Linked DNA regions of Macaca fascicularis. The protein of the gene in region 2 interacts with the protein of the main gene of each other region in a pairwise test. Links are inferred from orthologs where the notes say so. Each region holds a gene or a part of one and is shown on either strand. Other genes may lie near its edges.

Region 1 (4,957 bases), on a different chromosome or scaffold from region 2:
CCTATAATCCCAGCTACTTGGGAGGCTGAGGCACGAGAATCACTTCAGCCTGAAAGCCAGAGGTTGCAATGAGCCGAGATCGAGATCATGCCGCTGCACTCCAGCCTGGGCAAGAGAGTGAGACTCTGTCTCAAAAAAAAAAAAAAAAACCTTGCTTACTTGTGTAACATATTCAATCTGTCACCTCAGGGGAGAACAAAACTGTGTTCAAGTTGGCAGATAAAGTGACTGCATTCAAAGCCAAACTGGTATTATGGGGGCCACAAGTGAACACTGGGATTTTTTGACATGTTTCAAACATTAGCAGAGATTTTAAAAGAGACTGAGCCAGGACCTTTTTTCTCCCACCTGGCACATGATCACCTATCTCAGCTTTCAAAGAGTTTGAGGTATTATTTTCCAACCACGAAAGAGCCCCAAACTGGGAAGGAATGGATTCACAACCCATTTGTGAATAAGGTGAATCGACTTTGTTCATGCTAGAAGAGGATCAGCTGCTTAAGATCACAAATGACGGTGCCCTTAAAAGTATGTTTGAGACAACTTCATTCTGGATTAAAGACAAAGTGGAATACTCTGAGATTGCCACGAAAGCACTGGAAAGCCTGCTTCTATTTCCAACCTCCTGTCTTTGTGAAACAGGGTTTTCTGTAGTGACAGCAGCCAAACAAGATTACAGCTAGTAGACTGGACATAAGCAACACACTTAGGGTGTCACTGTCTCCCATCACCCCCAGATGGGACCATCTAGTTGTAGGGAAAACAAACTCAGGGCTCCCACTGCTTCTGCATTACGGTGAGTTGTACAATTATTTCATTATATATTATGATGTGATAATAAAGTATACAATAAATGTAATACACTTGAATCATCTTGAAATCACCACCACCCCCACTCCCCATCCATGGAAAAATTGTTTTCAACAAAACTGGTCCCTGGTGCCAAAAAGGTTGGCAACTGCTGCTTTAAAGTTTTAAGTTGTTCTGATAAACTTGATATGCAAAGGAAGGCATAAAGGAGAGTCAGTACATGACCATTTTATTTAGCCATTTGCTGAACAGAAGTGCCTAGCTTTTTTCAGTGTTTTTGTTCAAAGATAGATAATTCTGTTTGTTAGAGAGTTTTTATTAGGTGACTAGGAAAAAAACTTTCAGGAGAACATCTACTTACTATAAGTAAGCTAAAACATTTAATACCCAAAGTGTTTAGTAATAAATACTTATGCTATCTCAACATCAGTCATTTTATTGTCTATTAGGTAACCACCTATGGCATAAATTCTCAAAATTCATAGTAAAATTAGTCACAATTTAGATAAATCAGCCCTGAGTATAATGGCATCTGTATTATGGGTTTTTGTGTAAATTATTAATTTGACTGAAACATAACTACAGTATCCTGGACATGCAGGGGAAGAAGACAAGAAAATTAATGAAGAACTGGAGTCTCAATATCAGCAAAGTATGGACAGTAAATTGTCAGGAAGATACCGGCGACATTGTGGACTTGGCTTCAGTGAGGTAGTAATTAACTTATTTTCATTGGGAAGATAATTAGTTTTCAATTTGGTACCACTTATTGCTGTTAGATTACCCTAGCAATCAAGAATCCCATGTAGAAAGCTCTCTGTATGTAATTATCTTAAAAATAATTGTATATGCCCTACTGGTCTCTGTAGGTAATCAGAAGAGATGTTTCCAAAGATTTTGTGTGGTGTTTTGTTTTTTGTTTTTTTTTTTTTTTTTAGATGGAGTCTCCTTCTCTCACGAGGCTGGAGTGCAGTGGTGTGATGTCTTCCACCTCCCGGGTTCAAGTGATTCTCCTGCCTCAGCCTCCTGAGTAGCTGGGATTACAGGCACCTGCCATCATGCCCAGCCAATTTTTGTATTTTTTTTATTTTTGTAGAGATGGGGTTTCACCATGTAACCAGGTTGGCCTCAAACTCCTGACCTCAGGTGATCCCACCCACCTTGGCCTCCCAAAGTGCTGGCATTACAGGCGTGAGCCACCACACCTGGCCGTTTGTTTTTGTTTTGTTTTGAGACAGAGTCTCACTCTGTTACCCCTAGGCTGGAGTGCAGTGGCACAATCTCAGCTCACTGCAACCTCCACCTCCTGGGTTCAGGCAATTCTCCTGCCTCAGCTTCCTGAGTAGATGAATTACAGGCACATGATGCCACACGCAGCTAATTTTTTGTATTTTAGTAGAGATAGGGTTTCACCATGTTGCCCAGGCTGGCCTTGAACTCCTGAGCTCAGGCAATCTGCCCACCTCAGTCTCCCAAAGTGCTAGGATTACAGGCTTGAGCCACCGTGCCCAGCCTCACCTGGCCTGTTTCTAAGGATTTTAAAGTGTGTTTTCTAAAAATGAAAATGCTGTTTAAACATCAGAGCACCTTTCCCCCTTTTTTGAGACAGGTTCTCACTCTGTCACCCAGGCTGGAGTACAGTGGCACAGTCTCACTGCCACCTTAGCCTCCCAAGGACCTGGGATATAGGCCTGCACCACCACGCCTAGCTAATTTTTGTATTTTTTGTAAAGATGGACTTTTGCTATGTTGCCCAGGCTGGTCTCAAACTCCTGGGTTCAAGCGATCTTTCCGCCTCCCAAAGTGCTGGAACTACAGGCGTGAACCACCACGCCTGGCCAGGGCACATTTTTAATAGGCATGAACGACATGCTCACAAGTTAAGTAAAATATTTCATGTAAGTTTAAAATAATGGTTTAAGAGAGCTTTTTTTTTTCAGTTGTTTCCTAAGTGATCTCTTTTTATATTACGAATTTATGTGTGACTACTGTTTACTCCAAAGTAATACAATGTGCAAAACAATTATAACTGATTTCCACATAAAGGTCAGTGGTTAACATGCCTTATCAATTTAAAAAATTGTTTCTTTCGGGAAAATATAATACCGTGGTTTTCAAACTAGGAGAGGGGAGATAGGTGTGTGGTCTTCAGAGCACCTCCCCTCTTGTTTTCTTTTGTCTTTTAAGAAACGGAGTCTTGCTCTGTCACACAGGCTGGAATGCGGTGGCATGATCATAGCTCACTACAGCCTTGAACTCCTAGGCTCAAGCAATCCTCACACCTTAGCCTCCGGAGTAGCTAGAACTACAGGCATGCACCACCATGCCTGGCTAATTTTTCTTTGTTGTTTTTTTTTTTAGTTTCTTTTTTGTTGTTGTTGTTGTTTTTAAGAGACAGGGTCTCAATATGTTGCCCAGGCTGGTCTCAAATTTGTGGCTTCAAGCAATCCCCCTGCCTCTCAGCCTCTTGAGTAGCTGGAATCTCAGTCACAGGTATGAGCCACTGGGCCTAGCCAGACAGAGCTCTTTCTTAAAATTCCACTCAAGTCTTAAAACTGTTGTTCAATGGCTACAAAGTAAGTGTTTCTAAGACTGACAGAACTTACGGTCTTTCTCAGATTCTGTATGGGCTAATGTTTATTTTTAAAAGAGCCTGTTGATTGATGTTTTAGGTAGAAGATCATGATGGAGAAGGTGATGTAGCTGGAGATGATGATGATGACGATGATGATTCACCTGATCCTGAAAGTCCAGATGATTCTGAAAGTGATTCAGAGTCAGAGAAAGAAGAATCTGCTGAAGAACTCCAAGCTCCTGAGCACCCTGATGAAGTGGAGGATCCCAAAAACAAAAAAGATGCAAAAAGCAATTATAAAATGATGTTTGTTAAATCCAGTGGTTCATAACTCCCAAACGCTTAGTCTTTGTATTAAAAGTAAGCCTTATTGTTATAATGCACAGTGGAGGACTGCTTATAGAGCACAGACCTTTGTATTATAATTTTTAAAAAGGCCCTTTTAAATAATTACAAGGAGTGTTTGCTTTCAAATGCCATGGGTTACACTTTTATGGGCATGACTATAACCAATTTTGTAAAGAGTAAGAGTTGTATAAAATAAGAAATAAATACAGTACTCAACTTACTTTCATATTAGCATCATCAGCCCTCTAATTCACCGTATGGGGGAAACGCTTTTTGTTTGTGATAGCTATTTTATCATTTCCTTCATATTTTTCTCTTATAAAAATGTATTTGATACTGTGATACGTTCATGAAAAGTATTCTTTAATTATTCTTTGTTATAGTAGAGCTGTTCATCATGGAAATTTCTGCTGCCAGTCACAATCTAAATTAATTTTGGCAAAAGATTGGGTACTTAGTTTCCTGTTACTGAGTTAGCTCTACTCTTTTGGACCAAAGCAACATGAGAGTAAGTACTTTTCACACTTGTTAAGATGGGAGTTATAACTGTCATACATTTGGAATATTATGATCCCAAGTAGTCTTTTTATAATTTGGATTATATCGTATGTTAGATTTTTGATAAGATTTGGCCAATTTTTACAGAAGAAATGATTTCTCTGATCATTTAGTTCTATCTATTTAGAAATATGTAAAACTGGATTTTTTTTTTTTTAAGTAACGTGACCAAAGTTAATTTTGTCCCAAAGGTCTAAATAAAGAGCAGTTTCCCATATTTGGCTGTGATACCTTTATCCTCATTATCTACAAATGAGGAGCAGGCTTACTGATAAGCTGAAACAAGAAATTCTCTTCATTTTATCCCAGTGCTATTTTATTGATTAATTACTAAAAAGTATTACTTTCTAATTTTATTGCTGTTTCTGTTGGTGTAAGATTAGAATCATCTGACTGCTATTAGGTGGTTGATTTGTACAGCTGATTAACACAGATTGCATTATGAGCTAGTAAATGGATCTTTGGATAATTGGGTCCAAATTCTTAATGTTTATAAGTAACAAGTTCAAAGGCTTTAGTCCCACCTGTTTGTGAGCCGAACTGTTATACATCTAGATACTTAAAGGATGTATTTGGAGTGTTGGGATTTTTTTTTTTTTTTTTTTTTTTTTTTTTTTTTTTTTTTTTTGAGACGGTGTCTCACTCTGTCACCCAGGTTGGAGTGCA
Region 2 (4,957 bases):
CTCCTACCTCCTGTGATCCCTGTCTCCTCTCTTCTTTTCTATATATCATATGTATTTTGTCCATATTGTGATTTTATAAAATCTAGGATTTCTTAAATCAGAAATCAAAAGACAAGAGGCAGTGCAGATGCTTCTCAACTTATGATGGGGTTATATCCTGACAAACTCATTGTAAAGTCTGAAAAATCTTAAGTGGGACCATTGTAAGTCAGGGACCATCTGTATAGTATGCTAGTAAGAAGAGCATTCTCTTCAGACTAGCTCCAAAATGTGCTATCTATGCGAGCTTGGGAAAGTCATTAACTTCCTTGTGTTTCAGTTCCTTCCTCAGTAAAATGGGGATAAAAATAGTATTGACCTCACAGAGCTGTTGTATTAAATGAATTGGTATACATAAAACAGTAGAGTAAATGGCACATAGCAAATCCTATAAAAGTACTAGTTGTTACTACTAACATATCAGTTCTCAATATATGCCCAATTCTTACCTGGTACATTGTATAACCTTAAACATAAGAAAATAATCATGGAAGTAACTACTGGAATGAATTCTGGTATTTTCTTTTTTTTTTTTTTTTTTTTTTGTGACAGAGTCTCACTCTGTCGCCCAGGCTGGAGTGCAGTGGTGCAATCTCGGCTTACTACAAGCTCTGCCTCCCAGGTTCACGCCATTCTCCTGCCTCAGCCTCCCAAGTAGCTGAGACTACAGGTCCCCACCACCACACTCAGCTAATTTTTTTGTATTTTTAGTAGAGACGGGGTTTCACTGTGTTAGCCAGGATGGTCTCAATCTCCTGACCTTGTGATGCGCCCTCCTCAGCCTCCCAAAGTGAATTCTGGTATTTTAAGCCCATTTCATAAGACCAATAATGTTGCCCAGTCTACTCATATTCACACAATACTTCTACATATACCATGGTCTATATGAGGGGTTGAAAACATAGAAAATAAAATGCAAATCATAAGATGTCCATTAAAATTGTCTACCTTTTTCCTTTGATAGCCATTAATTCTTCTTGAAATGTATTGAGAAATATTTTATAGTAGATACACAAAAGGGCATAAGCTATAACTAGAAAATACTGTATAACTATCTCATAGATTAAGAAATAGAAAATTACCGATATTGGAAAAATAAATCCCTTGTGTATCACTACCACCTCCAGAGGCAATCATCCTCCTGAATTTGTCATTACGATTCCATGGATTTCTTTATATTTTTCTGCATATGTGTCCCTAACTAATATTTAGAATCCTTACATGTGTTTCATCATGACAGAAACAAGATTTTTTTCTCTCTCATTCAAGAAACAAGAGAAACATTTTTGAATATTTCAGCAGCTTAGTTTTTTGTTTGCTTTTCATTTTCTAAGTTCAACATTATGTGGATGAAGACCCCTATACAAGTAGGTCAGAGTCAGCTCATTAATTTTCACTGCTGCGTAATACATTACAGTCTATAAATTAGTCATAATTTACACATCGAGCTTCTCCCATGAATTGTTTTATGTTTTCTTACTAAAAACAATGCTGCAATGAATACTCGTGTGCCTGTTTTCTCGTGCATCTGTGTTTCTCCAAATTACACTTTGAGAAGCATAATGATGGATTAGTGGGCTAAGCATATCTTCCCCATTGTTGAATATCACCAAAGAGCAATTGGCTTCCCACAGCAGTGTATGTTGGTTCCCATTGTTTCACATCCATGTCAGCCTTTGGTATTTCAAGGATTACTGTATTGTTTTTTTCAATCTAATGAGTACAAACTCTACTATTTCCTGTGATCTGTGATCCTCACAAGAAACCGCTAAAGACAGGCTTCATAGGAAATGTAACAAACTCCAGCTATGGTCTAATATAACATCATATAACATCATAAATAGGTAACAGCCACACCCAATGAGACAACTGCTGTGCCATTTCTTTCTCCCACCAACCCAACTACAGCAACTATTTGAAAACATAGATAGGCATAGGCTTCTGACTCCAGCATCAATATCTGCCTTAGCTGGGCTGAAACACACCAAATTCGGATTTACATAGAAGGAAAAGCATCTACCTACAGTTCAGGGGATTATAATGGGCATGCAATTCTCATTTCAACACTAGCTTGGGTACTTTTATATTTATATTTAAATATAAATATGTAGTCACTTATAAATATCTTTTTCTCACCTTTAAGACAACTCAGTCCACTGGGAGCGCCCTCAGAAACCTAAGGCCCCAGTGGGGCATTTTTACGAACCCCAGGCTCCCTCTGCTGAGGTGGAGATGACATCTTACGTGCTCCTCGCTTACCTCACGGCCCAGCCAGCCCCAACCTCGGAGGACCTGACCTCTGCAACCAACGTCGTGAAGTGGATCACGAAGCAGCAGAATTCCCAGGGCGGTTTCTCCTCCACCCAGGTTGGTGATTTGCCAAAACCTTTGATTTCACCTTCAGGCAGCAAAAGATTTGAACAAAAAAGAAACAAACACATCCAAGAAGAAAAAAATAAAGATGACAATAACTTGAAATGAAGGAAAGTTTTCAGTATCCAAGGATAATGGGAAATAAAAGCAAATGAAAGTCAAAGAGGGCCAAAAGGAAATGCTCAGAATTCCGGCAACCCATCACTGTGTTATTATCCTTCTGTTTCCCATAACAACACTGCCTTCCTCAAGCAGCAGTGGAGCATCAGCAGAATGAAGGAGATGTCTCCTGCCATTCTCCTGGAAGCTATAGGGTCTCTTTCAAACTGTTCAAAGGAACTCTACTCAAAATCCTCCAACAACCTCTCCTCACAAATCTCTCCATTCTTCGGTCCCCTTTAATAGGCTTTTTTCAAAACTACACATTTTGTGCTTCCCCTATTCAACCTTTTTTCTTTTTTTTCTTAAGACAGAGTGTTTCTCTGTCACCTAGGCTGGAATACAGTGGTGCGATCTTGGCTCACTGCAACCTCCACCCACAGGTTCAAGCAATTCTCATGCCTCAGCCTCCCCAGTAGCTAGGATTACAGTCATGTGCCACCATGCCCGGCTAATTTTTGTATTTTTAGTAGAGACGAGGTTTCACCATGTTGCCCAGGCTGATCTTGAACTCCTGAGCTCAGGCAATCCACCCACCTTGGCCTCACAAAATGCGAGGATTATAGGTGTGAGCCACTGCGTCCAGCCCCCTATTCACCTCATAATACACAAACGTTTATTTATCAGGAGCATAAAGAACTGTCTCGATTCATCCAACCTCCTAAGTCTAGCTATATAACCATGTATCTGAACAGTTCATCGATATGTACACAGCAGGCAGTTTTATCTTCGGAGAATTTAGATGTTTGCTTATATACCCTAAAACAGAAAAAATGTGACAAAATGGCATTCCATCCTATTTCCATTGTATTAATCTTTCATCATATGAATGAAAAAAACTAAGTAATTTTGTTAAAGGTTATCATTCATTTCTTAGAAATATATTATTTGAAGGAGGCCATCCAGGTTCAGTGTTGATGAGGATGTCTACCAGCAGACATTCACTGGGAACAGGAAATCACCCAATAAAAAGGGAAAGCCAAATAAAAATGTCATTCAATCCATAAGATAATTATAATATTCATCTTTTATTTCTTTTGGAGAAACTGAAGCATGACTCTACTCATGGCTGCAAAGAACCTTGGGTTCTCTTCAGGTCACTGACCTCAGCAACTGAGCAAAGTTTAATATGGGAGAGAGCCAGACTGAACTTTGCTTGGGTGATGTCAGATACGACCACAGTTGTCAAGAAAGACGTGTTAGCAAATAGGTGATGCCAATAACTGATTATCATTCACTTATATTTTCCACATTCCATGTTCCACATATACTTAGAGAGAAAAGGATCAATTTTCTGATAAATAAAATAAACATGTAGGGCATACAGTCCAAGGTAGATATTTGAATGTTATGGCTCTTCAACTATCTAAAGATTATAATCAATCTTGAAATTACAGCTCCAATATTTAAGTAGTGAGGGAAGTAGGAAATCAAAGTCCCTCACATGGGTCTTTGAAAAATATCTCAGCCCTCAAATCTTTAAAATACCCAATGGGTTCTCTCACTCATCTATCTCTTCCAGGACACAGTGGTGGCTCTCCATGCTTTGTCCAAATATGGAGCAGCCACGTTCACCAGAACTGGGAAGGCTGCACAGGTGACTATCCAGTCTTCAGGGACATTTTCCAACAAATTCCAAGTGGACAACAGCAACCGCCTGTTACTGCAGCGGGTCTCATTACCAGAGCTGCCTGGGGAATACAGCATGAAAGTGACAGGAGAAGGATGTGTCTACCTCCAGGTGAGACTCTTGGGCAGGTGAGGACAGAGGACAGATGAGGACAGCAGCTGTTCTCACTGAGAAGTCCTCACTCAGAAAACAATGGGGCAAACCAGAGAAAGAGTTAGGGAAGTTGAGAGGAATTCTGGGAAAGGGCAAAAAACTGATTTTGTCTTTGATGTGCCATAGACATCCTTGAAATACAATATTCTCCCAGAAAAGGAAGAGTTCCCATTTGCATTAGGGGTGCAGACTCTGCCTGCAACTTGTGACGAACCCAAAGCCCACACCAGCTTCCAAATCTCACTAAGTGTCAGGTAAGACCTTCTGACTGTATCACCTAATCCTAAGAATAACCACCAATCTTCGTACTGGAACTCCTCTTTAAGTAAAGCAGTACAATAGTAGATGTTTGCACTATTCGTTAAAAATGCAATGTATTCTCTTAAGTTGATACAACATAATTTCTCAATGATGGGGTTTACATTGTCCATCCAGGATCTATTATTGTGCAACCTCATTGTTTAAAGGGTAATAATTTCCCTCAATAACAACTAAATAAATATTACCCATTGCCTCTGACGTGAATTCCTTGTTATGTAATGAAATCCTATATTATTCTTGCTTTATTGAAGACAGAGATGAAGAATTACTGAAAAGTTTGAC

Evidence for each region. The genes of interacting proteins can lie anywhere in the genome.
Region 1: the proteins of A2M (region 2) and C14H11orf58 interact in a two-hybrid assay, tested with the Homo sapiens proteins (2 studies listed by BioGRID and IntAct). The link is inferred for Macaca fascicularis from reciprocal best matches to the Homo sapiens genes A2M and C11orf58.

The regions. Positions count from the first base shown.
Region 1 is NC_088388.1:49,009,255-49,014,211, reverse strand, and holds the end of C14H11orf58 (small acidic protein), read left to right. Parts: intron 1-1,411; coding exon 1,412-1,521; intron 1,522-3,482; coding exon 3,483-3,716; 3' UTR 3,717-4,508; downstream 4,509-4,957.
Region 2 is NC_088385.1:11,866,448-11,871,404, forward strand, and holds part of A2M (alpha-2-macroglobulin), read left to right. Parts: intron 1-2,182; coding exon 2,183-2,406; intron 2,407-4,093; coding exon 4,094-4,312; intron 4,313-4,480; coding exon 4,481-4,608; intron 4,609-4,957. UniProt on the Homo sapiens protein: Is able to inhibit all four classes of proteinases by a unique 'trapping' mechanism. This protein has a peptide stretch, called the 'bait region' which contains specific cleavage sites for different proteinases.